6 separate regions of the Mus musculus genome follow, and all the other regions are reported to be linked to region 3. The links are microRNA targets in miRTarBase. Many come from high-throughput screens and were not tested one by one. Region 3 holds a microRNA gene; each other region holds the end of a gene's coding sequence.

Region 1 (5,174 bases), not on the chromosome of region 3:
TCTCTACTGTTTCCTTCCCCAGTTCTCCGAAGCCCCCACCCCATACTAATCACAAGTTCCTTTTCTAGAAGCCTCTCCTGAGGGATTACTTCTGGCTCCCAGGTTCTCATTCCTTCAGTTAGCAAAGGCTTGCTTGCTCTGTGCCTCTTACATGTGTAGAGATGCCAGGCTGCCCTTGATCCTTCTTTGACTGTCTCCTAGACTCAACCTGCACTGTATTTTTTACTTGTATGCAACCCATTGTTTGTTATTTTCTATTCTTTTAGTCCTACCTTTGAGAAAAGGAGGTAATTCCATGGGAGATGTGTAGTGTCCAGATGCAGGATTTGGGGCCAACCTGGTCACTGACAGAGCTTGTCTGCTCTTTGCAGGGAGGAAGTTAATAAGGCCTACCGGAAGCTGGCTGTGCTGCTTCACCCGGACAAGTGTGTAGCACCAGGCAGTGAAGATGCCTTCAAAGCAGTTGTGAATGCCCGGACAGCCCTCCTGAAAAACATCAAGTAGAGGCAGAGGAAACTACAAGCGAGCTCAAGTGCAAACAGACTCCCCTTGAGGTGAAATAACCAACATGGAGTTTTCCTTCACGAATGCTCACTGTTGTGTTCCCTCATGTGTAAGTTAATAGTATGGGTGCCTGTTACCATGTTGTGGCCATTTCTCAGTGAGATGACCGCTTTTGTGTGAGAGATAACCCCACATCTCTTATGCACTTCATTTCTTATTGCCAGATAACTAGGTGTTTGTCATTGTGTCATCGCTTATGCATTCACCTGTGAAAGTCCATGACTGTGACCCACCTGCTCTTCCTCCCAGCAACCCTCCATCCATCCATCTGCCCACCATCAGAGAAAGGAATAACAACAGGAGAGAGAAAGAGCCTGGCCCCCGGGAGCCTGCACCCCACTAAGCGGCTTCCTGGTTAGTATTTTAACCATCAGCCTGTACAGTTAGTAGCCAGAGATGGTGGAGGATGAGGCAGGAGTATTGCAAGAGAGAGGCCAGTCTGGATTGAATTACTTGGCAAGACTTTCAAAGAAAAACAGGCAACCTTGTAGAAGAGTGATGTGAGCTAGCACTGTTATCTGCCCTTTTAGGACACTGACTCTGTTCTTTCTCCAGCCACCAGGGGGAGACAAGCCAGTGCTAAGAGAGAGGCAGTGCCAGCCACAGGAGCTGGAGAACCTGAAGCTCATCCCGGATCCCAGGCCTTTGCTCTGCCCTAGAAATAGTTGCTAGCATCAAGCAGCAAGGATGCTGTGTCCCTGGGAATGAGGGGCCCGACACCAGAACAGAAGCTCTTAGAGGGCGCATTGTGGGTCACTTGGGAGTGTGCGCTCAGTCACACCATTCAGACGGAAAGGCCAGCTTGGGCCTTTCCTGAGCTCAGGCATGTTGGGCACTAGGAGGGACCCTGCATGAGACTCGTCCCTGTCCTCAGTCCTCACCACAGGTGGTGGGAGAGGCAGGCGGGCCCTCTTCCACAGACCCGTCTCTTTCTTCTGCTCTCCTCTCGCCCCACTCTTTGTTACATCCCACATCTGCCATGGCCTTTCCTCTTGCCCTGGGCTCAGCTGACTTGAAATAAGTAGGATCCATTTGGGGCACACTGGGACGTCTTGGGCCTGTGTGGGGCAGAATCCCTACAGTTTCTGCTTGGACTCCAAATTTCTGAATAGTATTTTAAAATTACAAGTATGAAAACTCATGTTGCATAGAGAGAAGCCTTTCTCGTGCTGTTGCCCCTGCCTGGTCCACAGGACTGGATGGAGCTGATGGAGCTGGGCTCATGTTGCTCGACTCCTGTCATCCCTCTGAACTCTGGTATTCTTATTTTGAGCTGCAGCCACCTGTGCTACCTGGAACTCAAAGGATGACTTTTAAATACCTATCCCATAACGGTTGCCAGATAACATGTCTCTTGCCTAAGAAGACAAGCTCTTGGCTTCCTGTCTAAACCCTTGTAGTCCTCTGGGTTTTTCCTTTCTCCATAGTGGCCTCACTTTGCATGGCTGTGCTCTGCGCAGCTGCTCTGAGCTTTAAAATGTTGTTCTTAGTGAACTCAGATGTGTATAAAAGGATAAAGAGGTCTGGCATACGGCTGTATTAGCATACGGCTGCGTGGCTTGAATTAGCTTCTGAGGTGATTGAGCTCCACCTCATGGTTCTCATGGGCCTCAGTTCTGCTTGAGGCTCCCTCACGCCTAGCACATCTGATTATCCAGCTGCTCCTGGAACAGAAAGTGGGAGTCATGAGGATGAGAGGTGTGTGTGGTGCTGTCAGCCTGAGTGCGGGGCCCAGGCTGCGCCTCGTTCAACCACATGGGCAGGAGAGCAGTTACAGCAGGGGGCTTTAGTGTTCCCATTTGGGTCCCTCAGGTCACTTGCTGATTCTCAGATCTTGAGACGCTGTTCCTGACATCTTACTTATATCTAGGGTGGCTGCGTAGCATCTTATTTATTTATTTATTTATGTAAGAGTAATAAAATGAAGAGGTGAAGCCTCAGGGTCCCAGAATGTGTCTGGTTTCTTTAGTCTCTCAGCAGAGCATTAGGAAACAACAGAGCATAGCTCAGAACGAAAAGTATTCTGAACCCTGGCTTCGTGATCCGGTACAGACCTCTGCATTCATTGAAATTCTTAGTGCAGCTGTGTGCTTTGTCCTTCGACATTTTGAAAACTGCTTGCACATTTAAGATCTTAGGACGTCAGCAGGAGTCTCAACTCAGTCATTTCAGAGGCTGAAACGTTTTTATAAAGAACCTTGCCCCCCCCCAAAAAAAAGAAGGGATAAAATATTTGAACAACTGTTATCTTAAAAAGCTGTGTCCTTCTCCATCTGAGTCACCAACTGGTGTCACCTCTTCACTTGTTGGAAGTCCCTGGAGGCATTTCTGAGTTCGTCTTCCAGCCTTCGTCAGCACTTTAGAGCGTCCTCCCCTCCCCTGGTGTGTGCTCTCCTCTGTGTCTCCCTGGAGCTGCTGGGCTCCACTCTCAGTGTCTCTCTAACCCCGGAGCTACTGGGCTCTGCTCTCAGTGTCTCTATCCCGGGAGCTGCTGGGCTCTGCTCTCAGTGTCTCTCTATCCTGGGAGCTACTGGGCTCTGCTCTCAGTGTCTCTATCCTGGGAGCTGCTGGACTCCGCTCTCAGTGTCTCTCTACGCACTGCCGCTTTACTTCTCCATGTCAATGTCGTCTGTGGCTTTGCCAGCATCTTAACTCACGAGTCCAGATGCTGAGAGTAAGGCTGCTGTCCTTCTGCACACTGTACACCATTCTTTAAGGCTTGTATTTACCTCAGGAAACATATTCTAGTATCTTCTCACTGATTGAAATCTCAAGTGATAAATACTTCTTTATACCTGCAAAATGGTACCTATTTCTGTCTTAGTTCGGTGAGCAGCTAGATGGTCAGGTATCTAGATGGTCAGGTACCTATTTCTGTCTTAGTTCGGTCAGGCAGCTAGATGGTCAGGTATCTAAATGGCTGAAAGCTCGTCAGAGTAGGACAAGGGGCTCCTGCCAGCACTGAATCGGGGACAAGTGGTAGAAAGACAGAGGGATTGCCATTTGAAGCTAGGAAGCAAGGAGCCAGCATATCGCCTCTAGCAATGACAGTGATCCCTTCCAGGTCAGCTCAGTAGGTTCTCTCATGCTGCCTCCCATGGAGCTAAGTCCCCAGCGTTTTTGTAAACCTTTTGAAGATGAATTTAGTTGCAAAATCAAGCTAAGCAATTTCCACTTCAGGCTTTGCAAGCAAAGAGCTATTGCTCCTTCTCATCCTGGTGCTGAGCACAGTTTTAGACCTGGTTAGTGCCCTTGGACATTGATTGCTCCATTAACTGTCCCTGAGGAGGGTGGATGTGTTTACTTGTGGTATGGGCAGGCAGTGGGTCTGTGTCTTAACACACAGTGCGGTGCTGGGCAGTCTGGAGAAGGCCCTTGGTGAAAGGCTGTTACTGAAGAGTTGGACAGTTTGGGTTAGCTCCCTGCACTGGTGCTGACCGCTCCCTGCACATTCTTTCCCTCCACTGTGAATGCTCGTACAAGGTAATTTACATATTTGCTTTCTGTTGAAATAACTGAAAGTGTTAAATCTACCAGTTGTTTATGTCTTGTATACAGAGTGTCATATGTATTTAAGTTGTGTATTTTTATAGAGTAAAGTCAAATAGCAAACACTGGTCTGCTGGCTGCATTGATTTGTTGAGACCTGATCTTTGGTGTAAAACTAGACCACACAAAAATCCAGGTCCTAATCTGCTGTGATCTTCATTCCGCAAGACATGTACCTCACCATATGCCCAGCACTTGGGAGGCTGAGGCACGAAGATCAGGAGTCTGAAGCCAACGTAGGTCGCAAAGAGACCCTGCCTTAAAAATCACAAGCTAGGTGTAGTGGTGAATGTCTGTCTGTAGTCTACCTTACCTAGGTGTAGTGGTGAATGTCTGTAGTCTACCTTACCTAGGTGTAGTGGTGAATGTCTGTAGTCTACCTTACCTAGGTGTAGTGGTGAATGTCTGTAGTCTACCTTACCTAGGTGTAGTGGTGAATGTCTGTAGTCTACCTTACCTAGGTGTAGTGGTGAATGTCTGTAGTCTACCTTACCTAGGTGTAGAGGTGAATGTCTGTAGTCTACCTTACCTAGGTGTAGTGATGAATGTCTGTAGTCTACCTTACCTAGGTGTAGTGGTGAATGTCTGTCTGTAGTCTACCTTACCTAGGTGTAGTGATGAATGTCTGTAGTCTACCTTACCTAGGTGTAGTGGTGAATGTCTGTCTGTAGTCTACCTTACCTAGGTGTAGTGGTGAATGTCTGTCTGTAGTCTACCTTACCTAGGTGTAGTGGTGAATGTCTGTAGTCTACCTTACCTAGGTGTAGAGGTGAATGTCTGTCTGTAGTCTACCTTACCTAGGTGTAGTGGTGAATGTCTATCTGTAGTCTACCTTACCTAGGTGTAGTGGTGAATGTCTATCTGTAGTCTACCTTACCTAGGTGTAGTGGTGAATGTCTGTCTGTAGTCTACCTTACCTAGGTGTAGTGGTGAATGTCTGTCTGTAGTCTACCTTACCTAGGTGTAGTGGTGAATGTCTGTAGTCTACCTTACCTAGGTGTAGTGGTGAATGTCTGTAGTCTACCTTACCTAGGTGTAGTGGTGAATGTCTGTAGTCTACC
Region 2 (5,174 bases), not on the chromosome of region 3:
TTATGAAAAGCTATTTAAAATGGACAATCTTCATTGCAATAAGTGCATCACTGCTCCTTCCTGTGGCACCTTGGCACAGGGAGGTGGAAGCACAATACAGAAGTGGACTTGCACATGATACCAAAATGCCAACTCCCTTTTTGTCTCTCCAATGCAGGTGGAGGTTAAGCCATATGTCTTGGATGACCAGCTGTGTGATGAATGTCAAGGGGCCCGTTGTGGGGGGAAATTTGCTCCATTTTTCTGTGCTAATGTTACCTGTCTGCAGTATTACTGTGAATATTGCTGGGCTGCTATTCACTCTCGTGCTGGCAGAGAATTCCACAAGCCCCTGGTGAAGGAAGGTGGTGACCGCCCTCGGCATATTTCATTCCGCTGGAACTGAAGAATGAATGACTCCAGAGCTCATTTGCAGGCCTCAGAAGAAGTGCCCTCTTTTGTTAATTCCAACTCTTCCTCAGCCTCTTCACACTGGCATGTCCTGCACAGCAGTGTGTAACTATCAGTGGTAGAATGAAAAGAACAACCTACAACATAGGTATTTTGTAGACTCTCGTGTCACTGCAAACAGTATGTTCAACTCCATTTCACATTGCCATTATGTTGCATGCAGGTTTTAATTCTCTTGTTTTGCTGGAGGCCAAGAGGATCTAAACTTGCTGTAGCATTTTCTTAGAGGAGAGAAATATTAACAGAGAAATGAGACAATATTTTGAGGTTTTAATTGCTGGTAATGATATAACATATAAGAAAACTTTATTGAGATAATCACCAACAGTAACACTATCATCTGTTCTGACACAGTCTCCCCCAGGAAAGTGCTCTTGCCAGTTCTTTTCTTTCATTCCTTCTCTCTCTCTTTTCTATCCCTTTTTATTCTTTAACAGCAATGGAGGAAGTTAACAGTTATTAACAGGAAAGAGTATGTCAGAGCAAGCAAATGCATGAGCAAGATTGAGCAGTGTAACCATAAGAGCTTTGAGGCTGATGATAGCTTGATCATGCCTCAAATGCCTTCATACAACAGAAAAAATAAAGTAGGCAGAGCTGAGTTTGTTTTCTTTGAAATAATTCTTAAAATTCCGAATGTAAGAATTGGGTGACTTTACTACTGAGGGGAGTGCGCGTATTTATTTAACTGACTTCCTAATCACGGCCCCAGGAAACCTACCAAAGCTAGAATTAATGATTTCTGGTGGGGAACAGAAGAACAAATACATAAATTTTATTTTTGTTATTATATATAAACTCTATATCCTAATTTACTAACAGTCATCAGGTGTCAGCCTTTGCTCTCCATTTTGACATTAAAAACAACGTATCTAGACATACCTCAAGGATATCATTTTTGACTTTGTGTTACACTACACTTGTAGCCAAAACTGGAAGATTAAAAACAACATACAGATCGGCTGCCCATTGGCCTTGTTTTCCATTTGAAGTTACTTTGGAATCCTGTAATTTAGTTGTAACATAGAAAATGTGGGGGGGAAAGGTTAAAAAAAAAAGTCAAGTAGTTGCAAAGTGTTTTGCACTGTTGAACTAAGTAATTGTGTAAATCTGTGCAAAAGTCCGTATGGTTATCTTACTCTTCCTATAAGGTACAATAACATACACTTTCCGAACTTAGCATGGGACATAGTGTTTGAAGTGCCAACTTCATCAAGTAATGCATGCTTTATTATAAATACAACCCTAGCTTTGAAAGATGTTCTTATGTTTTGAACAGTCTGCTTCGGGGGTAAATTTAAAATAGTCTCTTGAAGCCCCGGTCATGGAAGTAACTTTTGGTTTAATTGACATTCTCTTATTAAATGCCCTACCGTAGTTCAAAGGATTACTATCAGTGTGCAAAGCATTTAACAGCAGCAGTCTAAGTGCAGTCTTGCTAGCTGTGCTGCCTAACAGTACCATCTTGGATCCTTCAGAACCAAAGACTTGCCTGCAGTGCTGTCACCGCCTGGCTGGTGACCCTTCTGCTGTCTGTAGGAAAAGCAGCCCTTTATTTTTAACACAGGCTTTAATGAACTACACCTGTTAAGTTCCAAAGGTCAAAATGGAGGCACTTGCTGTCTAAGAGTCCAACAGAAAGAGGGAGCCACTGTCAAAGAATCCCCTGCTAACAGAACAGCGGAGCAGCTGTGTGGTGGAGGGTGCTGTCTCTCGTGTAGCTGGTCAGGGACGTTTTTTGTTTTTTTCTTTTCTCCTGAACTACATGATTCTAATTGGAATGTTCATTTGCCTCTTTTTCTTCCTTTAATGCTTGTAGGTGGCTTGGGGTGTGCTATTGTGCTGGTCCTACTCAGTAAACAGGTGTGATGAGTTAACAAGAACTAACACTGCTTGAGAACTAGCTTTGAGTAATACTTTTCCCTTTGTACACGGCCTGCTGAATTCCGGTACAGTGTCTGTAGCTGACTTATTTTGTCATGCACATGATGTACATTTGTTATGCACTACTTTTGTATACCTTGTTTTTCCAACAGTGAACATTTTTAGGCACACTTTTCACTGACGGGATATCTCTTTATGCAATACCTCAATTTTTCATATTGCAAAGAGTAGCTTTTTGTACTTTTATTACTGAGAGATCTTCATATACTTCATTTTTTAATATAAATAATTTTAATAAATTTTATTTTCTTATATTCTGCTTTTTATACATTTCAGTGCTCTGCATACATTTTAAATTATGAATGTTGTGCACTGGCAATGCTATTTTAGAGTCTGCAGAGAAGAGAAAGCATGTTGCTTAAACATCCTTCCCCAGCACCAGCTACTGGTGTACCTATAATTTAAGAAATAGTCTATGTAAAGTCACAAATTAATGAAAAAAATTCGCATGAAAATGACAAAATAACACTGTAGTTCCTAAAAAAAATTAAATGCATAACCATAGGGTAGAAATTTAAAATAACAAAATTGTCTACAGCTTCTTACTAAGTTTTTTAAATTATTCATAAAATGCAGACATTTTGGGTGAATGTTTAATCATTTTTAATCTTAATTAATTGATGTTACATGTTTGATTCAGAGATGTCTGCTCTTTTAAATTCTATATAATAAAACAAAATCGCCTGCCACAGGACAGGTTTGTAATGTTAGTATGCATGACTAATGTAAGAAATTGTTATTCTGCTAATATTTACTTGTGATTGTGTGACAAGCGTGTTTACAGATGATTTGGTTCCACTTCTTTACAGGGCATAAACAATGATTATCTATTACTCTGAACTTTATGATTACATGTCCTTCAGATTACATGGGATTGTAGCTGGGAGTTACCATGTAACTCAAACATTATTAACATGTAATTAGTTTACAGGTTTTAGGGTATCACTTCAATTTACCAAGCATGTAGTTCTAGCGCACTAGCATGGCACCAGCCATGTATTTACAATGTAGTTACAGAGTAATTACATGGTTATTTTTGCAATGTAAAATAAAGTGTTTCTGATTATTTTCTATGTAAAGGACCCCCCACCCTACCCGTGCCCCCTGGCTTTGGTATAATATATTTACTTCTCCATACACAGACCTCTGCAGAATGCAACATAAAACTTGCAGTGAATGAACTTAGCATTTTATGAGAGTGCTGTTGGAAAGACTTGATAATTCACCCCTTTTTGTTTTGAAGAGTTGAATCTTCTGTTAAAAGGTGATTTAAAACTTGAATGTGATGAATTGTGGCAAGCTCACTCCAGTTATGTGCAATACTTATCTCACACTTTGGAAGATCTTTGCAGTGTAATTCTTTGTTTTTAATTGCAGACATTAAAAAATGTCATTTTCTACTGTTAAGAGTAATCCTCTTTCTTGCTGGTGTTTCTAAAGAAAAGAATCAGAAATCAATCTTTCTACTAATGTAAATTTGAGATTATTTTTAAAAATGGAATAAAAGAGGTTTTGGTCATTTGCTTTATTTTATTATCTTATTTTAAAGCTACTGTGATTGATAGCATTGTAAGAATTGGGACAATATTGTATTCAACTGTTTTATTTTTTATATTTTTAAAATTTAAAGTATAATTAGTTTTTATAATTTCATCAGATTTTTGTTATATTTTTTTGGAAGTGAAACTTTTAGCAAGTGGGTGTCTAGTTTTTACTAATCCCTAATTTTTCCAGTGTATTGCTCATATTATCAGAAGGGAACGTTATTTAAGTGCGTCAGTTAATTGTACTACTTGGCTGAATTTCCATATAGTTTTTACTGTGTATGGGGAGGTTGTAGTATTTATTCTAGCATTTTAAATAAGGGTAATTCATTTTTTATTAAAGTCATTTTCACGTTAAGTTCCTATTTTTGTATGTTCTACTCTTAAGTTATATAACACAGTTTCTTTTTTAAAAGAGTTCATTTGTTGAAGTGCTAGTGGAAAATTAATGTTATTAAATAGTTTGCAAATGACTATTTATACCAGTATGCATATAATTTTTAAATATTTGTAATGTGAGATGTTGAATGAATAAAACTTTTAACTCAGATTTCTTTTACTATACTTATTTCATTTTAGCATAAGTAGACTCCCTTTTGGGAATATGACATTTTTAGAACACTAAGAATGTCATGTTGGGCCCTGGCCGAACAAACCAGTATGAAAAAGTCTTTAATCATGTGAGTGCTCATGGCAGGCATTCCTGGCTTCGGGAAGTTGTAAGAGCTGTCAGCTGTAGTGTCTTTGGCCTGGCTGTTAGTTCATGTGCTGCTGTGTGGTGTCTGGGGGTGGGGTGTATCAGCCTGCAGTCTAAGTGTTCTTTCTTCCTCCTGGAGATTGACCCCTGCACCCCCATGTGATAAGCACATGCTCTACCACTGAATCATCTCCAATTTCAAAACGTTGAACTCTCGGGACTTTGAGAGACTGGGGTTCTAATCCCATAGCTCAGGAACTGCAGGTGTTCTCTTTTATTTGGCCCATGTCTCATGTAGACTACTGAGTATTGTGATGTGTTAATACTTATGTTTTAAGATACATTTAAGTTTTCAATGATAAGTTAACAACAAAGTACACCCGTGAATACCCTGTTTGGGAAGTAACGTATCTGCACTTCCCTCCCATGATAGACTATTCTCAAGAATAGGACGGCAGGAAGCAAATGGACTGTGAGATGTTTTACTTCTCAGGTTTTTCCCCAGCATGGAAACCAGCCACTGGGAATTGTGGGGAAGT
Region 3 (5,174 bases):
CTGTGGTAAGTAGGGCCCCAATGTCCTTCCTCTGGAAAGTAGGGAGACTTGAGAGTAAGGAAGGCTAGGGTCAGAGGCACATCCCTGCCAGTGCTCCAGGACCTGCCCTCAGCTTAGATGTCTTTACCTAGAGGCTTTGTGCTCCCCCCAACCCCTGCCCTCAGTATTGTGCCCCACCCCACCCCCCAGCAATCTACCCCAGATGACACATCTACCCATGATATGATATGGTGACTTTTGACCCCGTATCGGCCTACTTAGACTGGGCATGGCTTAACAGAGGTGCAGTTCCATTCATCACCAGCTCCAAGTGGAAGAGACGTAGCCTCCCAACCTGAGGACAAGGTCACCGAGCCCTGAGAGACCTCTGGGGACCTCAGCATGAGGTCCCTCTCTTTTCTCTGTACCCCGGGCACCATCACTTAATCCCCCCAGTGTGATCCTGCTTCCCCCAGGCCAGGCCACTTGGTATCAATGGAGGATCTGCCAGAAGGTCTTGCCTAGAGAAAGGCCAGATGAGGGAGACAGAGGCACATCTGTTCCCGTGTTGGGCTAAGGCACAGTGCGTGGTGGCCCACTGTCCTTGCTAGAACTAGGGTGCTTGTGTCCTGGTGTTTCTCTACCATAGCTTGGGCTCTGCAAGGCTTCTGTTGCAATGAAGCCCAGATTCAGGGAGGCTCACCAAGTGCAGAAAAGGCGCTTTGGGGCTGACACAGTGGCATACACCGGCCTCCTGCTGCTAAGTAGAGTGGCTGAGAATCCCCAGGGGCCAGCCAAAAGGACCCCACGGAAATGCATGATGGTGCCCAGAGTCAGAGGGGCCAGTCTCGACCTTCCAGCCAGACCTGCCCACGTACTTGTATCCTGACAGCCAAGGGCAGAACCCGAAGTGTTGAGAGACCTGGGGTTGATGTCTGACCTCTTTCCTCCTTCAAAGTGCTTCTGGGGGCGGAGAGGGGGAGGGAGGTGCTGGGCTCAGATGGAGATGACCAATGTGGTCTCTAGCTATTCCACCACATCCGGGCACAGCCTAAGAACCGACGAGATTAACCATGGCCAGTCAAGCCTACAGAGAGGCTAAGCAGTGTGGGACACCCCTCAGCCTTCTCACCTGGGCCACCCATCATAGATAGGATCACCAAAGGGGCCCTTCACCACTCTCTTCCCACGCCTCTTCTGCCTTGCTGCCTCTGCAGGGACCATCCTTGAGGGTATTTGACCTGCCTGTTAGTGAAAGGGTCCAGGCTTGAGGCAGGGGATGGCACCCCAGTGGCTCAGATTTCCTTCTGGGGCTTGGAAGATTAGTGTTTCCTATCATCACAGGCCTGCCCACCACGGGCCAGGCCACACCAGCGCTCTGGGAACCTTGTTCCTAAGCTCCTCTGCCCCATAGACTCCGGATCTGGGGCCACAATGTGGACTTAGACCTAACGGCTTCATTTTGACCCAGGAGTTTTGGACTTGTCCCTTGACCCTTGGCAGAGAGGAAAGGAGGCGTGACAGTAGACGCTAGGGCTCATGCAGAGAGCAAAAGCTGCCTGGCTTCCTAGGTCTGGGCACAGGGCTTCCCTCCACATGCTGGGCAAACCGGTCTGAGGCCTGAAAGAAGCAGGTCTTTTTCCCTTCTGAGAGCAGAGCTACCTGAGACCAGAGACTGAGCCTCAGTTTCTTCAGCGATCTCTGCTGGCCTCTGGAAGTGCTAGTCGTTAGGGACAGACTGGCCATGAGTGTCCAGCCAGGGTCTGCACTTGCGCCCGGCTGGCCACCATGGGGAGTTAGGCTGCCTCCCACAAGGAAAGACTGTTTTGAGCCTCCCCCAGCAAGGTCAGCTCAGGCCACCCTGAGAAGAGGGAGGGACAGAACCAGAGCCCACGAGGGGGGGGCTCTTCCTGCCTAAGGGGAAGAGGGTACATGCCCAAGGCTACTACTTAGCAGGAGTCCTGGTGATTCTACTACGCTAGAGTTGAGTGGACAGAGGCTGGGTCTCAGCCAGGTGGACACTGGAAGCACCCTGGACCTTGGTGGCCTTTAACAAATGACACCCTTCCCCCATTGTGGCCATTCCTGTGCTCAGTGCCCCGTGCTTTCTCTCTCTTCTCCCCGTTTCCCCGTCTCCCCGTCTCCCCTTACTCTCTCTGTGATTTTGTTTAAATGTCCCTGGCCCATTTTGAGAAAATCCCAGTCTATTAATACCCTCAGCACTGAGCGGCCTGTGTCGGGGGTGGGGGGTGGGGCTCACCATGTCCCCAGCTCTCCTTCTTCCTCTAGGAGGGACCTCAAGAAGCCACAACATCCAGCTCTACGCCAAGACTGACTGACGGCCTTTGGGGTGAGGTAGTAGGTTGTATGGTTTTGGGCTCTGCCCCGCTCTGCGGTAACTATACAATCTACTGTCTTTCCTGAAGTGGCCGCAATATCTGCAGTGGATACAACGGCGGCCCTGGCTGGGGAGACTGAGGGAGGGACAGGGGGGTGATAACTACCATGCAAAAAGAGCCTGACAGAGACCTTGGATAGTCCCTTGACCTCTCTGGGCTGTTACTCATCTGTATAAGGGTTGGGGCATAGCGATGAAAACAGACAGCATTTTCAGGGCACCTTCTCTCCCTGGCCCACACTGAAGGGGCCTTCCTGCCCCTGGCCCCATATCAGACCTGTGCTCACAGGTCTCCATGAAAAGAGGGTCTGGACTAGACCTTCAACTATGTTCCAGAGTTGCCCAGGCTTTCCAGCGCAGGGTCAGGCCTCTGACGAGCAAGCGTCTCTTCCGAGAAGAAATTGAAAAGGAGCCATTCTTAGCACACCCATGAGTACAGCCTGCAGATGGACCGTGTAGGCCACTGTCCCCTGTCCCTGGGGCAATGGGTTCAGACACCAGAGGCTTCCTCAATCTGTTTGGTAGGCACAGGCCTTTCTCACTGAACCTCTGTCTCCACTTCCCCCTCCCCCACCCCGCCCTGTGCCCTATGGCTCTAGTGGCCTGTGGCCAGGGTGGGTGGGGAGCGGCTGGGCCTCCTCCAGAACACGGACACCGCAGGGTGAGGTAGTAGGTTGTGTGGTTTCAGGGCAGTGATGTTGCCCCTCCGAAGATAACTATACAACCTACTGCCTTCCCTGAGGCGCCCAGGGACACAGCTACATGGAGGCCCCCGCTCAGCAAGCTAAATGGAGCCACAGATTGGGTGGGGGCTATGACGTGGGACCTGGGTATAAATAAAGGATGTTCTGTCATGAACTTACAACTGGTCTTTGGTCATTTTGGAAATACGGAGACTGGCCGTAGAGGACATGAGATCGCCAACCACACATTGACACGTTTGCATGCATGAAACATTGCCAGCAAGAGCTGCTCTGGGTAGTGAACAGTACCCTCCCCTCATCTTCCATGTGCCCCTTAGTGGCCCAAGCCCTGGACACCCAAGCCCCTCCACATGAGTGGAACAACAGACCCTATGACTCCAAGTCTCAGAGCACAGTACTGGCTTCCAGTGTCCCTCAGCCTGTGGTCCTAACCAGATCTGAGAAATTCCTGGCCTATTGTCCCTTCGTGCCTGCCTCCCTTGGGACAGTATTGGGACGGCTGTGGATGTAGCTTTCTAATCTTGGGCCAAATGGTCATATACCCTTCTTCCAGGGACCCCAAGCCTTCATTCAGGTGGTGGTAGTGGGGTGAGGGTCAGCCCTCAGCTAGTGTTAGCTTAGGAAGGTAAAGTCCTAGTCTTACCTGACCAGACACCAAAGGCCTCCCTCGTGGGTGGATACCTTGACCCTGATGTCCTGGCCTTCTCCCCATAATGAATCCCCCGAGTCCCAGCTCCCGTCCTGAACCCAATCTGCCTCAACTCTGCATATCCACACACCTCCATTGACGCACCTAGGCAGACCAAACACCCCTAGAGCCCCTCTATATCCACCCTCAGCTACCAGACCTCTCAAACTTAGCCAGCCATTTCCAAAGATCTGATACTGTGCTAGCCCCAGGGTTGAGAGTACCCAGAGGGACTCTCTGAGTACTCTCTGAGAGCAACAGGGATGGCTTCCCAAAGTAGGGGCTATCTGAGCTGGGTCTTGATGGCTGTATAGGAGTTGGCAGCTAGAGACACAGGAGTGGACACTCAGACACTCCGTGGCATGCCCCATTGTCTCCTCCCTGCTGTCCTTTGGAACATCGATGGTGGATGATAAATTGTCACCTTTTTACCTCTCTTTATCCTGTAGTCAGTGGTGAAGTCTGTTGACTCTTGCTATGCCTCCAGCCCTAGAGGAGTAGTCCTTCCTCCCCTCCCTTGTGCAGAGCTTTGCCCACTCTTCATCCCTTGCTGAATTAGTTAAGGTTTTACTGCTGTGAGCAGATGCCATGACCAAGGCAACTCCTATAAGGACAACATTTAATTGGGGCTGGCTTACAGGTTCAGAGGCTCAGTCCATTATCATCATGGCAGAAGAATACCATGACATAGGAAGAGCTGAGAGTTCTACATCTTGTTCCGAAGGCAAACAGGAGAAGACTGGCTTCCAGGGAGCTAGAGTGAGGGTCTTAAAACCCATATCCACAATGACATACTTCCCCTAACAAGGCCACACCTCCTAATAGTGCCACTCCCTGGACCAAGCATATACAAACCATCACACAGCCTACCTTCCATACTCTTCTGCACAGCCCAGCCCCCAACCCTTCACCCTCACACAGGCCCACCCTCTGGCTACCACAGCCAGCTGTGTCTGTGCAAGCAGAATGACATGCTGGCCAGTCACACCCACCTCCTGGCTCCTATGCTGCAGTGGGAGATGGCCTCTGCTCTGCAGAGTTCAAGTACTAGGGACACAGGACAGGACACACGGCGACCACCCAGTGGGGTAGCGTGGGAGCATCCGAGAGCTCTGAGGTGCTCTGCAGTCAGGGTAGCTTCCTGGAAGATGACCTCTGACATGTCCTGTGCCCCTCTCTACATTCTGTTGGCTCTTCTCTGACAACTGACTGTCACTAGAGATAGGGGTGCATGTGGGGATCAGGGTGGGTACGACACAGCATTCAGCAGAGTGGAAGTTCTGGGGTGCAGGGGAGTGGTTCAGCCCAGGGAGACCCTGTGCTCACTTCCCCACTTCCACAACCTACAAAGGAAGCAAAACACTTCCACTTAGAGGGTGGAGTCAGGATTCAAGGGCACCCCAGA
Region 4 (5,174 bases), not on the chromosome of region 3:
TGGTAGGTCCCACTGTTCCTCTGTCTTACCCTTCTGCCTTCTGTTTAAATGGCCGCCTAGCTCAGCCCTAGGATGAGGTAGGAGGGAGAAATGAGATGGGGAAGCTTTGGTCTTACCAGGCTTCCAACCACCTCCAGCCTCCATTGAGGGTGGCCCGCAGGTCTCCATGGTGGGTCTACTTCGACACATCCTGTCCCAGGAGGGTGTATGGGGCCTCTACCGGGGCATTGCCCCCAACTTCATGAAGGTCATTCCAGCCGTGAGCATCTCCTACGTGGTCTACGAGAACATGAAGCAGGCTCTGGGGGTCACATCCAGGTGAGGGACAGGGAGCCTGTCCCCCTAAAACTCCCTCATCTTCATCATGGTATCCCCTACGCTGATATCTTCAACCACAGAGACTGATGGCCTGACCAGTGGATCCTAACCCCACACCCCAAGGCACTGGACCCCAGTACCCAAATCCCCGATCCTAGCCCTGTGTCCTGACCATGGTACCACTGCACCCCACACTTGAGCCACAGGATCCCAGGACTTGATCCCCAACTTCACAACCAGACCTCGAAGCCCCAACCACTGGACCCCACATATCAGCAGCCTGACACTTGATATGTAAAACTATCCATACCCTGGCCCCAAACCCTTCTTCCCAAGCACCTTGACCCTGTCATCTACACCCCAAAGCTGGACCCTGCTTTTCCCTGCCCCACTGGTTGCTAGACCTCACTATGCAGCAGCAGGTGACCCCAATGCCCCAAGCATGGGAACACTCATCCATGTACCCCATAGCCCAGCTCTCAGAGCCCTCAGGCACCAGACCCAGTGCCCTAATGCCACACTGGACCAGAGATCCCTAAACTTGCTGCTGAGTTCCCTGTAACCTGCCTCACAGCCCAGCCCCTGGATTCTAGGAGCCAAGAACTCTCAGCCACAGGGTCCTGACACAGCAAAGCCAAGATCCTGGGCTCTGCCACTGGGTCCCTGGATCCCTGGATTACAGGTCCCTTAACCCAACCAATGCATTTTCCTCTGTTTGAGGTTCCATATTCCCCCATTTTTACTGCTAGGTCTACATTCCAAGCACCACCCTCAATCTCTCACCACTGGACCCCAAGTCCCAATCCACTGGATTCTGTCTCCTGGAAGCATGGGTGCGAGAGCTCCAGGGTCCCTCATGTGGATCCCACATGCCCCAGCTGCTAAATTCCAGATCCCAGATTCCTTCAACCCCTTCTCTGGACCACATTCATAGAAGGCCAAACTTCCAAACACCTTCATACTCCAAGGTCTTTGCTCCTATACCCCAAATGTCACTCCCCAAGTCTAGATCCCAATAGCCCAGTGACAGCATCTCATATCCCAGACACACCCTGGAGCTGATTCCCAATGCATGGAAGCATGCCATCCAAAGAGTCTTCTAGAAGCTCAAGACGCCAGACCAGTGGCTCCCTACCAGGCAGTAAGGAATGGGACATATGAATGCTGCATTGCACCTCAGCTAGGACACACCTCCCTTCCCACCCCCACCCCCAAATCACTTTGTTCCCCGTCCCCCTCTCTCTGCAATGTCTTCCACATTCCCCTGCCTTCCTTCCAGGCTAGTAACTCCCAGATCCCAGGTCCCTCTGGGAGGGCTGAATCTGCTTGTTCATGGGTTGGGAGCTACCAGGGGAAGTCAGGGACACCACCAAGGGGACCACCTGCCTCTCACACTGCCAGTCCTGCTCAGGCCTCAGAAAGTTGCAATCAAGGACCAACACACAACATCCTTCATGAAACCCAGCATCCAGTATGCAAATTAAGTATCCCCAAGCTGACTCGGAGTCTATTTTTCTACCAGAGAACAAAGTCCCCTGGCTCCCACCACATTCCCATACCCTCCACACTTCAAGATTGGATTCTGAGCTTAGACCTGGGGTACCCCGCTCCACCTCTCAGTCTTTAGGGGGACCTCATCAAGGGACTGAGAGGAAAACTGGGATGTTGGGGGGGCATGGTTTCCACCTCTCCCTCCAACCTACACCAAGTCCTACCTCCCTGCCCATGTGTGTCATTTCAAGGAAAAAAAGAATAAATTTTCTAAGCTATTACTGTTGATTTTTAATTGTTTAAATTACATTCGCTTGTTTGAGGGAGGGGCATATGGCAGGGAAGCTTGTGGGGATCTGTCCTCTCTTTCCCTGTGTGGGTCCTGCGGATCAGACTCAGGCTTGGTGTGGAGTGCCTTTGCCTCACTGACCTTCATGGTAGTTTTGTTACTTTTTAAAAAGTACGAACAGGTGTACGTGTGTGTGTGTGTGTGTGTGTGTGTGTGTGTGTGTGTGTGTGTGTGTGTGACAACACTGAGGTACTACCGGAGGAGAAGAGAGAGACATGGGTCTCTCTCCCTCCCCCTCCCCCCCTCCCCTCCCTCCCTCTCTCTCCCTCCCCCCCTCTCTCTCACACACACACACACACACACACACACACACATACACACACGTCCTTTATCTCTTCTCCATACCTCCACCCTCACTCACCTTGTATCACCCTTCCCCTCCCTCCCTCCCTCCCTGCCTTTCTCTATCTCCATGCCTACCCCATCCTCCCTCCCTCCTTTCCCCCCTGCTTTCTTGTTTTCCTTCTGTCCCCTCCTCCTTTGCTTCCTCCCTTCTTCTGACCCTCCATTGCTCCCTCTACCCTATCTCCTCCTCTTTCCTCTTCTCTAAGAGATTGGAGCCTCGGTTTCCACTCCATTTATAAAGAGAAAGGGGGCTGGAGAGCTGGAGAGCTGGCTAAGAGCCCGTACTGCTCCTGCAGAGGCCCGCGTTGCAGTCTCAACAATCGCATGGCAGCTCACAACCATCTGTAGGGCCTGCTCCAAGGTTCCCTTCCTGGCCTCAGAGGACACTGCACTCACACGGTGCCTGTGTGCATACCCAAGCCTGACCACTTCAATCAGATCCCAGGCATCTACATGGAAATGGAAGGATGGAGCAGACTCCACAAAACTGTCTTCAGACCTCCACACATGCACCACAGTGCATATGTACACACACACACACACACACACACACACATTTATGTTTCTTGTCTCTGTGTGGTATGTTCATGAGACTACTAGATACCTCTGATCTGGAGTTACAGTGGTTGCAAGCCACCCAGCATGGGTCCTGGGAACTGAGCCCAGGTCCTCTGCAAGCAATATGCACTCAACAACTGAACCATCTCTCCAGCCCCAATTAAAACACACACACATGGGGTGGGGGTGGGGGGTCCGGGGGCCTTAAATCTGGGTGAAGTGGTACAGCGCATGAACTGGTAAAGGCAGGAGGATCAGAACTTCAGAGTCGGAGCTGGTGAGATGGCTCAGTGGTTAAGAGCGCTGACTGCTCTTCTGAAGGTCCTGAGTTCAACTCCCAGCAACCACATGGTGGCTCACAACCATCCATAACAAAATCTGATGCCCTCTTCTGGGAGTGTCTGAAGACAGCTACAGTGTACTTACATATAATAAATAAATAAATAAATAAATAAATAAATAAATAAATAAATAAATAAATAAATCTTTAAGAAAAGGAAGCATTTAAAAAAAAAAAAAAAAAAAAAAAAAAAAAAAAGAACTTCAGAGTCTTTCTCAACGTCATCCTGGGCTACATGAGACCCGGTCCCACTGATCCCTACCTTAAAAAAAAAAAAAGAAAGAATTTTTAAAAGCATTTTTATTGTATGCAGATGTGGCAGCGTGGAGCTCATCTGCTAGGCTCTGCAGCTATCCCCACCACTCATCTCCGGAACTCTCCATCTGTCTACACCAAAGTTCTGTCTCTGTTCAGCACTAACTCCATTCTGCTTCCTGCCTTGGGAGCCGGAGTCAGGAGGACCAGGAATTCAAATTCATCCTTACCTACTTGGTGAGTTTGAGACCAGTCTAGGCTACATGCCACCCTGTTTCAAAACAAAGCAAATGAATAAATAACTATTGGTTAGGTACCATTCGGAGGACCACACTGGCTCTTCCTGAGCCATGGGAACTAGGATGTGGACACTGTGGGAAGGCAGGGTCAGCCACGCTGCCTACCATCATGCTTGTGAGCTCACAAGCACTTTTGTGACCTCATCTTCCCCTTCCCCCTAAACCGCAAGGCTGGATAACCAGCCACTTCCAGCTGGGAGCCAGATAGACGCCCCAGAGGACGCTGAGACTGGGACCTTAATCCTTCAGCAACTATGGGAGTCCATCTCGAGGTAACTCAGCATCCTCGTTTGAAGGTTCAAACCTTGCTTAAGAGGGTCAAGGCTCAGCCGGGCGTGGTGGTGCACGCCTTTAATCCCAGCACTCAGGAGGCAGAGGCAGGCGGATTTCTGAGTTCAAGGTCAGCCTGGTCTACAGAATGAGTTCCAGGACAGCCAGGGCTACACAGAGAAACCCTGTCTCGGGAAAAAAAAAAAAAAAAAAAAGAAGGGTCAAGGCCTTATTTAGGAAAGCTCCACCCTGCCCTACCCCCACCCCTCTCCAGCCTACCCTACCACCATCTGAAGCATGGAACCCAAGGTGCACACACATGTATGAGTATGTTTGGACATGTGGGTGAGAACAACCCTGAGCATCCTTCATCATAGCAGGTAAGTCTGGGGAGTGAGATGGCACAGGCTGGACCAAAGGGAAAAAGCTTTGAGGCCCATATGGTACGGAGCACCTCCCTCCAGACAGAGTAGAACAACCTACACTGAGACCATGTGTGAGACCACGTGGTAGTTCACACCTGTTATCCCAGCACTCAGGAAGCTGCAGGCAGGACATCAAGAAAGGTCAAGGTCATTCTTGACTGTTTTAGTGAGTTAGAGACCAGTATGGGCTACTTGAGACCCTGTCTTAAAAGGGGAAAGGGGAAGAAGAGAAGGAGGCTGGGGCTGGCTAAGGAGACGAAGTGCCTGACACTCCAAAGCATAAGGCTGGACTTCAGAACCCTAGAACCTGTGTAAATGCTGGGCAAGCCTGACAGCCATCTGTAACCCCAACAGCACAGAAGTGAGACAGAGATGGGGGAGCAAGCTGGCTGGCTAGACCAGATCAACTGCTGAGCCTCTGGGCTCAAGTGAGGAACTCTGCCCCCACATATAAGGTAGAGAGTGGTCCAGGATGACCCTGCACATCAATTTCTGGCCTAAACACACTCACACACAAGAGACAC
Region 5 (5,174 bases), not on the chromosome of region 3:
AGTTTGTTTCTAATTTATCATCCCAGGATATTCTTTTCTGCCAAACATTTGGCCTTCCAGGATCCTCTGCAGTAGGGTCATCGGACTGGATCCTATAGGCACAAGCTCTTAACGCAGCCACACATGTGTGTTGTACAGTGTCTGTGGCTGGATGGTCCACAGTCCTGACCATAGCATCTGACCCTTTACAAAAGTGTTGCTGCAGAGATCGGCCCACAGGCAGAAGGAGTGTAAATTCATTGCCAGGTTTCTGCTCGGCTCATGGAAAGCCCATTTCTGGCCAGTCTGGATTCTTTATAGCCACAAACTCTCAGCTGTTCCCATGGAGCACTTACAGAGAGGGTTCCATACATTCTACATGAATGCCTCTCTGTTTGATGGCCAGAGACAACTTGGAGTTGTTTAAATTCATGAGCCTGGCTCAAGCACACATCTAAGACCCGTGTTTGTGTGTGCGCCAAAGTGCCAGCGGCTAGAAAAGAAGAAGCGATCTCAGAGCTTGAGTGGAGGTTAAGTGAGGGTCAGCTCTTCCATCTGGATGCTTTATACCTGAGACTCGCTCACCTCCCGTAGCCTGCCTGCCTGCCTTTATTCCCAGCACTCAGAAGCCTGAGGCAGCAGGTTGGGGAGTCTGAGGCCAGCCTGGTGCGTAGCAGTTTCCAGGCCAGCCAAGGCTGTGTAGTAATGTTTTGTTGCTGCTGTTTTCTGAAGGAATCTCCCTCCTGCTTCTTGCAGTTAACCGTGTTGCTCTCCTCAGGTCACAGCTTGCATGGAAAATGCTCTCGGCTACTGAAACCACATTTATGTGACAGCTCCCTGCTTGGTGTGTCAGTCCCTCCCGGCAGCTCTCTGCTGCAGGATATGCCTTTGAAGTCACATGGCTAGCGAGCATTCACGTGACGTCCTCCCTTTGCTTCCCTCAGGTACAGGTTTGACCTGCGTCTCATGTTCAACAGTCACGGCAGCGTCAGAACGAGAAGGTTCTCGAAGCATCCGCTCTAGCAGCCTCTGCGTTGGATCCTTGCACAGCCTTTTCCGGTGCCGTGGTTGGAGTGGGAGCCCACGCCTCGGGAGCTCTGGCCTTGCTCTTTCAAGTCTTGTTTGAAAAATAATCCAGTCAGCTGACTTCCAGTACTGTGAATCCGCCCCTGTCAGAAGTGGCTGACCCTGTTTCTCCTCAGATGACAACCACCACTCCTGAGGTCTTTGTCCTCTCCTTGTCCCTTCATCTTGGCTGGGCACAGTATATGAGTCCCCACGTGGTCGAGTCTGGATCTGTAAAACTCTTCTGATAATGGCAATACTTTAGGGCAGAGATAAAACCTTTTGGTATTTTAGCTAGCCCCCAAATCAAAAGCACTGTATAGCATTTCACACCGAGCCCCTCACCAAAACTCACACAGTTGCGAGAAGAGCTGCTGTCTGTGGACACGTAGAGAAAGGACATTCATGACATCCCTGTGGTGTGGTTAATGTGCGACGTGTCGCCCAAGCTCTGCCCTAAGAAGCTTCTTAGTGACTCCAGCCACCTGAGAGCGCCCAGGAGCACCAGGGGGGGCCAGATGCGCTTCCTGAGCTCTTGGATCAGTGCGCTGAAGGGCCGCACTTACAAGTGCCTGTCTGGAGGGTTCTCAAGTGTCAGCGCCACACAAGTCATCCTGCCTGGCTGCAGTTAGCTGTCATTGTCATTGAAAATCTTAGTGTCTCCTGGTGGAGGGGAAGGACCGGCTGCCTCACCCCACTCCCTGATCTCACAAAAGTGCGAGTTTCCAGTCCTGACTAACTAGGGCTCCAGTCAGTATTCCCCTGGCCGGCTTCCCAGATGCCCTGGACGGCACTCTGTTCCTTAAAGTCCAGTTCCACCCTGACGTCCACAGAGGCAGCACGGAGTGGCGAAACTCGGTTCCAGCCTGTCGTCGGCAGTGAGCGGGTTTAGCTTTACACAGCCTCTGCCCAGCTTTAACTTGTAAGACAGCTATGAGTCACTTTGAGAATTCCAGAGGCCATGTTGGGGGGACAGCCATTGAGTTTATTCCTTTACCTCATGTGACCCCAGCAACTTTGGTGATACTGAGAGGCCAGCAGGCAGTAGAGTGGACACCTCGGCCGTGGCCACTTTAGAGGGGGAAAAGTTTAAGTTTTAAACTAAAAGTTACAGAATTGAATGTGGATACCGGCTTCATTCACCCCCACTTGGATTCTAAACATGACCAGTGAAATAGTGAAAGCTGACCACAGTTGTTCCCAAATAAAGGTCGGCAGCTCCTACCAGGTCTGGGATTGAGATGTTAGAGTCTTCAGTTTTATAGCCGGCTCCTGAAAGCAGGCGACATCAGAGTGGTAACAGTCAGTAGGCTGCAGTAGGTGTCCTACCTCGAGGCCCTCAGATGGAGGTAACACATTAGGATTGTGGGACACAAGATCCTCTCTGAACCTCCTGGTTAAGGAACGTTCCTGCAAACATTCAAGTAGACCTTCTATAACAGACTGCAGCGTGCATGGCCTCTACCCACAAGAGATGCACTGCAGGAGGCCGGCCCTGTTCTCTGTACTCAGCATTTTGACATCTCCTTTGAAGGCCAGGTATATGTGTACCAGTGCTCTTCAAAGGGAGAACCATTAAAACCAACATGGAATGCAGGGACTTCGCCTTATAAGATTTCCAGTTTTAAAACTGCCCCTCAGATACAATTTCAAAGTAGGGTACACATTAGAGTGTCTTTGAGTTCAACAAGTTGGTACTGTTGCAAACACCTTCTGAATTGCCAGCGCCCGGGTTTTTATGTAAAAATAGAGTGGCTATGGAAGTTACACCTTCATCTGTGGGAAGTATTCTCAAACGTAGGGGTATCTTTATCTTATGTTTTCTAATGGAAGATGGCAGCCCAGAATCCTCAAGACAAAGCAAGGGGTATCAGCTGATGGCCGCGGGACTGATGGGTGTCCTGGGTTCTTTAGCTCACCAGCACTTTGCGCTCAATGGACTTTGTAAATTCTCATCAGCTGTTGTAGAAGTTCCTCTGCCTGGAGCTGTCATCTCAGCCGCTCCCTTAGAAAGTGCCCTTCAACGGACCCTGTTCACTGCTGCACTTCTCAATGAATTAAAACTGACTTCTGTTCTAGTGGCAATGTGTCCTTTGTTTTTAGTCCACAGGTGTTGATTCTCACAATGTATAAGAAGGTGGCTGCTTCGTGGAGTTCTGTAGTTTTGTGGTGCTAGGGTCCAAATTCAGGGCTGACATAAAAGGATCAGGTCAGCACTGTCCCCCGGAGATAGACCTTCCGGCTGCAAGGTTAGCCAATAACCTAGTGAAAATGGACCGTCTCCTCCTCGTGTGCGCCCTCCGCCTAGAAAGCTCTTAGATACCAGTCCCTGCAAGTCATCTGAGACCTGGGAAGATGGCTCAGTAACTAAGAACACCTGTTCTTGCAAAGGACACCCCCCCCCCCCCCCCCGCTCCCAATGCAGCTCCCAGCCCCTACATGGTAGCTAGCAGCCATCTGTAACTCCAGCTCAGAAGATCAGGTGCCTCTTCTGACCCCCACAGCCTCCTGCACACACACATAAATATTCATAAACTTTTTAAAAAAGAAACCCGCTGATAAGTGACTTACAGCTTCTTTGAGCGACTTGTAAGAAGACAGACTAACTCACCCTTGCCAGTATTACTGTGGTCGCCCCTTTCCCTAGAAGGAAAATTACATTTTGCAGGAGTCATCAAACTTTGTTAAAGGGTTAAATATCCAATCCTAGGCATACAGGTTACGTACATAGTCTCTGTCACAGCTACATTGCTGGTAGAACATAAAAATAGCCCAGGAGCTGGGGCTACAGCTCAGAAGTGCTTGTGTTATATGCAAAAGGCCCTGGGTTCCACCCCCTTCATCACGTAAACTTAGTGTGGTGAGGGTTCTTCAGCTCCAGAGAGAGTCCAAATCCTGGTGCGTAACTGTGCGGCTCTGTTCCAATGTAGGAAAACAAATTGGCCACAAATTGCCGGCCACCGACATCAATGGTTGCTTCATAGACCAAGGAGATGTTAGGCATTGAAAAATTAACATTACTGTCTGGAAAAGCTGATTTGGGGGCTGGAGAGATGGTTCAGAGGTTAAGAGCCCATACTGCTCTTGGAGAGAGGACTCCAGGTTGGGTTCCCAGCACCTACACCAGATGGCTCACAACCACCTGTAACTCCAGCCTCGGGAGAGCCAACCTCGTCTTCTGGTCTCCACAGGTACAGTGCCCACAAACCAAGTCACACAAATAGACACTTAGTTAGAAATAAGAATCTTTAAGAATTAATGTGTGTTTACCACAAGGCTGAGATCACTTCTGGATCCGAGCTTTGGCTAGAAAGTAGCACAACCCCTGTCAGTCCCCCCTCATCCCGCTGTCCCTCCCCCAACCCCTGTTCCCACCCCGAGGGGACCACATATGGTGGGTTTGTTACAAGTGAGGAGCACTCGGTAGGAGCAACCTGTATTGTAGCAAGCCTGCTCTTCGCTCCAGAGGAAGACTGACCTCCTCATCCATAGAAATTGCTCATCTGCCAACAGTCCTAAGAAATGACTCTCATAAACTAGTCGGGGCCTTGTGATTGGGGAGGCCAGAGTTGGTGCTTACCCAACACCTCTCAGCTGGCTAAGCAGCTGGTCGCCTGGTTGGTCGGATGCATTCCTTGCCCTACCCAATGGAGTCTAGAAGCCAGAGCAGCCATCCACAACTGCTGTGATGTGGTCAGAAGAGCTGTTTTGTAACCCGGCGTTTGAGGTGAAGGGTGTGTATAGTAGGTCATGAAGATGAGCACAATGCTTTTATATGTTCTAATCACCTAGGGGTATATGTGTGTGTGCAGGTGTGTGTGTGTGCCTCGAGCGCGTGCGCTTATTTGCCTGCACACATGCACATGTGGGCCAACTGTGCCTGCATGTCCAGGTGAGAGGACAGTTCCTGGAAGCTAGAGCATACGTAATATCAGCTTGGGTCAGACTTGAGGGGATGCCTAGTCCTAAACAGAAAGCAAATCGTCCTTTAGGAACCAGGAAATTAAGTTCTATCTCCCCAGCAGCCAACAGCAGTCAACACAGACTACCAGAGAAGAAAGACTTGATGGTACCTGCCCTTGGAGCCAGATTCCCTGCAAGGTCTTTGTTTCCCCTCCTTTCTTCCAGGC
Region 6 (5,174 bases), not on the chromosome of region 3:
GGTGCATGCTGCCTTCCTAACACCTGACAGACCATCGCATAGGCTGCCTCAGTGGGTGGAAGGGCATCCATCATTAGGCTGTTGGCTCAGGACACCCCTCCCCTTGGTGGAATGTCCTGAGTTGCTGCTGTTCACTGTTGCAGGGGTCCCATGTGACCAGGTGGCCAGGCTTCTACATCCTACAGTGGAAATTCCACACCATGCCAGCATGTGCTGCCACCAACCTACCCCGAGTGGACGACGTGCTGGCCTCCCTGCAGGTCTCCTCCCACAAGTGCAAAGTCATGTACTACACAGAAGTGATCGGCTCTGAAGATTTCAGGTTTGTGCCTGAGAGGGAGGCTCTGGCAGCAGGGACTACTTGTTCACTGCCTGCAGCTCTCCATAGGAAAGGGAGTGTAGCACTTGCTAAGTGCAGTGTCACCCGAGGGGCAAACTACGGATTCCTCCATTGATTCTCATGTCCTGTCCCAACTTTACAAGGGCCGACGGAGGGGGGGGGGGGGGGAGCAGATAGAGATGCTCGCTTGGGGCGGCTCAGAGCAGCTCCTCACTCCTGGTTCTTTGTTGATTACATCTGCAGAGGCTCCATGACCAGCCTGGAATCTAGCCACAGCGGGTTCTCACAGCTCAGTGCCGCCACCACCTCCTCCAGCCAGTCGCAATCCAGCTCCATGATTTCCAGGTAGTGCCGCGAAGCCTGCGCCTGCGCGGAGGGCGGGCGCCCCGGCTGCTGTGCTCCGCCCACCCCAGGATGTGCAGACTCCGCCCACCCCTGGATGTGCAGACTCCTCCCTCTAGATAGCAGCTAGATCTGCAGATGGTCACTAGTCACCTGGTCCCCAGACCATCCTGAGAGGTAGTTTTAACTCTACCCCTAACTTTAACTCAATAGCCATAGATTTTGTATACAGCGTGCACAAAATCAAACCAGAGCACAAGGGCTCTCGAAAGAAAAGTAGTTTATCTACAGTAAGAGACTGACTGGTCTCAGTTGTCGATGCAAAAAATGTTACCAACAAACTCCACCTTGTCCACTAGTGAATGACTTGTGTGACACCCTGCAGAGACTCGCCACCTCCTCCTCCACGGAACCGAAGCTGCAGCAGGCAGCCCTTAAGCTGCAGCGGAGTCCTCTCGGCTCCCTGTTAGTGGAGGTGGCCTGTGGATCCAGAACAGCTCTTGAGGTCCCTTTCCGCTAAGGACTTGGCAGCCTGAGGAGCACCCAGTGCTGGGTCAGAGCCAGCCTGATCCCGAGCAGACACTGCAGCCCAGGAGGGGCTGCCAGGGCTCCTCGTGAATCCTGACAACACCGCCATCATTAAACATTGCTTTCTCTTTCCTCCTCTTCAAATCTTTTGATATTTTTCAGAGCAAAATTTTTCTGTCCGTGAACTTGGTGGAGGGGATGGGGAGGATTCTTTCCCTCTGCTGAGTGCTGCCTTTCCTTCTGCAGGAGGCGGCTCTGTGCCCGTAGCACCCAGGGTCCTCAGTCCTCTCAGAACCCAGGGTCCTCAGTCCTCCCAAAACCCAGGGTTCTCAGCCCTTAGCACCCAGGGTACTCAGTCCTCCCAAAACCCAGGGTTCTCAGCCCTTAGCACCCAGGGTACTCAGTCCTCCCAGCAGCACCCAGAGTCCTCAGTCTTCCTAGCACCCAGGATCCTCAGTCCTAGCACCCAGGGTCCTCAGCTCTCAGCAGGGTGTTTGGAAGCAGTAGGTCACACTTGCCTTTAGAAGTGTGGCAGTGCAAACTCTAGCAATGCTCTCCAGGGGGGTGCATGGCTTGCAGTGGCCTTCGGCATGTGGGTGGATGCTGGGTATGTGTGTAGGTGTTGTGTGTGTGCATGAGGGAGTGGGGTGTAGCTGGGGAGGGGCTGCAGATCTGCACTTGTTCTTCTGCGTTTCATAGAAGCAGGTCAGAGGCTGGGGCTAGTTTGCCTTTTTTCTTCTTTCTTTTTTTTCCCCTGATCTTGACTCCCCAGAGCCTGCTGTTGGAGCAGATCCTTGCTTTACGGCTTTTATGGGGAAAGCATGCTTCTTAGCGAACTGTCTAGAAGTTGCAGGTGGCTGATCTCCAGAGGAGGGGGGCCCAGGATCTACTTGTGTGTGTGTGGTAACAGTGTCTAAAGATGTGTGCCAAATCCGAGTGGCCATGAGAGTGTATGGCGGGAGTGGATGCCTGTGTAGACGCTGCTCTGAGGCTCTGGGTGGCTGGCTGTGCGGTGAGAGCTATGGAGAGGCTGTGGCATGTCAGCAAGCATGAGGAGAGCCGACACAGCAGCCTGGCTTGGCCGATGAGCCCCCTGGCTCCTGGCACCCTGAGCCGTGCTTGAGCCTCTGTTTGGTGGCCTTTCTGGCCCACTGCCATGCCTTTCCTGTCTGTGGGAGCGCTTGTACACAGCACAGCAGGGCTGTAGCTACCGCGTCCATGCTGCTTCCAGTCAGGGCTTCCCAGCTCCGAGTGAAAGGACCTGAAGATGCCCCTGCTCTTTCTCTCTTCTCTCTCCCTTCCCCTCTCCCTTTCTCCATGTCCCAGATGGCGATTTTGCTGACATCCTCCAAGAAAGCGCTTCACTCGACAGCCCACATGTGCCCAGAGATGTTTGTAGACCTATCTGAGTCGCAGCCATGTCCCAGGCTGAAGAGCTGTTCCCCTTAAGTCCATGCCGAAGAGGCACTGTTGAACCCCCCAGAGCTGAGAGCATCTTTAAGAGCTCAAAGCACACAACTGCACACTCACAGGCCCTCAGCTTCCCCGAGCCACAGGGCACTGGCTGCCCTGTAAGGGGAGGCTGGCTACGAGGTGACCGTGTGGCTCGCACACGGGGCTGCTCCTCCCAGTGCCCAGCACCTCCTAAAATGCTGCTCCCTCCACTCTGGGCTCTCCCTGTTTCTAGTGTCTTAACCCATTCTCCTTCCTGAATCCATTCTTTGCATATCAGATTCTGTAAATGTTTTGTAAACATATTACCTCACTCTTGGTAATACAATACTGATAGTCTTTAAAAGATTTTTTTATTGTTACAATAATAAATGTGAACTGTTTAAGAAGAGTGTCCTTTTCTTCTTGGGAGGCCCCAAGGAAGAATAGAGATTGAGAGGAGAAGCTGCCCGTGCCTAAAGGCAAGGGGAGGCCAAGCGGCTGAGTGGATGGCCAGCAGTCACCCTGTGCCTCTCGAAGGCCTGCTGTGCAGATCAGCACATCAGACATGTGCTGCAGAGTGAGTTCTAGGATAGCCTGGGCTACATGCCAAAACCCCGCCTCACAGCCTGGCTCTCGGTATCATTGTATTACTTAATAGTAAAATAGATTTCTCCAAGCAGGTGACTCTGGAATTCAAGACAGTAAGCAGGTGTGGACCTGGGGAGGCTAGAGTGACCTCATCTTGGCTCTCTTGTTTCTGGGGTCTGCAAGGCAACAGAGCCCGGGACAGCCGGGCACAGGTCTGGGAGGAGGAAGGTCATCACGGTCTTGCCGGGGTGCAAGGTCAGAACCTCCTCAAAGGGAAGGGCAGGCACATCTGGGGGTCTGATCATGTAGAAAGCAAGAGACTCCCAAGCATGCCTCGTTGTCTGGCATGTGAACTCTGCAGGGCTTTTGCCCCAAGCAGTAAGGCTGGGATATGGCCGGACACCCCATCTGGCGCATCCTGCTGAACTTGCCACCCGAGGAAAGACTTAAGGTTGGTCAAAACAAGCCTGTCTTGGCTCCAAGGTCACATTTTGTTGGAAATGAGAGACAGCCTAAGAACACGCAAGGCTTAATTGCATCTAACCCAAAGTTCTGTCTGAACTATTCAGATATGACCACCCTGGAGTGGCATGCCCTAACTAGTCCAGATTGCTAACGTGCGTTCACCGTGAATGACACCATGTTTTCGTTGACAGGGTTTTGGCATGTAGCCCAGGCTATCCTAGAACTCACTCCTCAGGCTGGGCTGGCTTGAAACTCAATATCCTGCCTCTGCCTCCCAAGTGCTGGTATTACAGGTGTATGCCACCATTACCACCAGCCCTATGTTTTCTTTGATGCCAGATCCCTGGAGAATTCTGACCAAACCTAAACCTTGGGGCACCTGCAGCTCTCAAGTACCAGGAGAGTTATTCTCATCAACATCACGAAGCAAACCAACTGGGCTCAGTTCTGCTTGCAAAGGGAGGGCTTTGGCAGGGTGGCTCAGCGGGTAGGGTGCTCACCGCCAAGCCTAAGGACCAGTGTTCCACCGTGGGGACCTCAGGCTCTCCTCGGTCCTCCATGCGCATGCATGGCATATACACAGGCACATGCAAATAAATGAAAATTTAAAAACTGGAAACCAAAGACTTGGAGAGTTAGGCATTCTGGGAAGACAGCAATGGCGTCCCCACATAAATGCAGCAAGGGTTGAGCCTACGACAGTTGGAGTGTTGAGTCCTATGCCCCAAAACACTAAAGTGATGGTTTGCTGTATTTTCTTCCCCACAGTAATAGCTCCTGTGCCCATCACTCTACCATAAAACTAGGCAGTAAGTTATCTTAGAATGTCCAAAACAACCATCTCTTGGACAGACCAGTGGTCACAAAACCCGTGTGGACTCCGAGGAGAAAGCAGAGGTGGTCTGGAAGATGCTGCAGCCCGGGGTCTTGCTGGTTAGATCTGGGGCAGGGCAGACTGGCCGACCTGACCTGCTGCACACCGAGAAGCCACGGGTGTGGGTGGCCGCAGGGCAGCTCTGGGAACAGATTGTCTTACCTCTGTACCACCGAAACAAGACGAAGGACGCTCATGCAGTAACATCCGCCAAGCCGTGACCCAACACTAAAAACTGAATGTTAGGTCTGGGCTGTGGGTGGGTCCAAAGAAGGCTGGCCTAGGCTGCTGGAAGCCCTGGGTTCCCTCCACAGCACCGCAGAAAACAGGCCCAGCAGTGGAGAAGCAAGAGGGTGTGAGGGTTCAAGGTCATTCTTGGCTACATTGTGAGTTAAGAGGCAGCATGAGACCCTGATTCAAAAGTCACACACACACATCACGCCTTTAATCCCAATACTCGGGAGGCAGAGGCAGGCGGATTTCTGAGTTCGAGGCCAGCCTGGTCTACAAAGTGAGTTCCAGGACAGCCAGGGCTACACAGAGAAACCCTGTCTCGAAAAAACAAAAACAAAAAACAACAACAAAAAAATCACACACATGCAT

What was found. The annotated mature microRNA mmu-let-7b-5p reads UGAGGUAGUAGGUUGUGUGGUU and lies in region 3 at 3,040-3,061, shown strand. An mRNA with a match to its seed (bases 2 to 7 or 8) in the 3' UTR can be bound and repressed. Matches are read on the target gene's strand: a 7mer-m8 pairs with bases 2 to 8, a 7mer-A1 pairs with bases 2 to 7 and ends in A, and an 8mer does both.
Region 1: miRTarBase lists Dnajc27 as a target of mmu-let-7b-5p. Seed matches in the 3' UTR shown: 7mer-A1 at 3,291-3,297.
Region 2: the mRNA of Cpeb4 is a reported target of mmu-let-7b-5p. Seed matches in the 3' UTR shown: 7mer-A1 at 1,330-1,336 and 7mer-A1 at 2,536-2,542.
Region 4: the mRNA of Slc25a23 is a reported target of mmu-let-7b-5p. Seed matches in the 3' UTR shown: 7mer-m8 at 2,030-2,036.
Region 5: miRTarBase lists Gns as a target of mmu-let-7b-5p. Seed matches in the 3' UTR shown: 7mer-A1 at 2,039-2,045 and 7mer-m8 at 2,370-2,376.
Region 6: the mRNA of Sec14l1 is a reported target of mmu-let-7b-5p. Seed matches in the 3' UTR shown: 7mer-A1 at 2,969-2,975.

What each region holds. Positions count from the first base shown.
Region 1 is chr12:4,106,431-4,111,604 of GRCm38, forward strand. It overlaps Dnajc27 (DnaJ heat shock protein family (Hsp40) member C27), which reads left to right. Exons shown (of 7, transcript NM_153082.4): 7 at 372-4,182. The coding sequence ends at 504. Among named protein-coding and RNA genes, the nearest start is that of Adcy3, 25 kb to the right of the region's middle.
Region 2 is chr11:31,931,148-31,936,321 of GRCm38, forward strand. It overlaps Cpeb4 (cytoplasmic polyadenylation element binding protein 4), which reads left to right. Exons shown (of 10, transcript NM_026252.4): 10 at 158-4,488. The coding sequence ends at 385. Among named protein-coding and RNA genes, the nearest start is that of 4930524B15Rik, 32 kb to the right of the region's middle.
Region 3 is chr15:85,704,286-85,709,459 of GRCm38, forward strand. Mirlet7b (microRNA let7b) reads left to right here and starts at 3,034; the gene lies at 3,034-3,118. It overlaps Lncppara (long noncoding RNA near Ppara), which reads left to right. Exons shown (of 2, transcript NR_110483.1): 1 at 1-5; 2 at 2,269-3,239. It overlaps Mirlet7c-2 (microRNA let7c-2), which reads left to right and starts at 2,318; the gene lies at 2,318-2,412. Gm34622 (a long non-coding RNA gene) reads right to left here. Exons shown (of 3, transcript XR_384306.3): 3 at 4,586-5,174.
Region 4 is chr17:57,040,627-57,045,800 of GRCm38, reverse strand. Slc25a23 (solute carrier family 25 (mitochondrial carrier; phosphate carrier), member 23) reads left to right here. Exons shown (of 10, transcript NM_025877.4): 10 at 138-2,090. The coding sequence ends at 322. Slc25a41 (solute carrier family 25, member 41) reads left to right here and starts at 4,147. Exons shown (of 7, transcript NM_175333.3): 1 at 4,147-4,227. The coding sequence starts at 4,210.
Region 5 is chr10:121,394,125-121,399,298 of GRCm38, forward strand. Gns (glucosamine (N-acetyl)-6-sulfatase) reads left to right here. Exons shown (of 14, transcript NM_029364.4): 14 at 924-3,130. The coding sequence ends at 1,002. Among named protein-coding and RNA genes, the nearest start is that of Gns, 32 kb to the left of the region's middle.
Region 6 is chr11:117,156,218-117,161,391 of GRCm38, forward strand. Sec14l1 (SEC14-like lipid binding 1) reads left to right here. Exons shown (of 16, transcript NM_001166506.2): 15 at 144-322; 16 at 584-3,051. The coding sequence ends at 689. Among named protein-coding and RNA genes, the nearest start is that of Sec14l1, 44 kb to the left of the region's middle.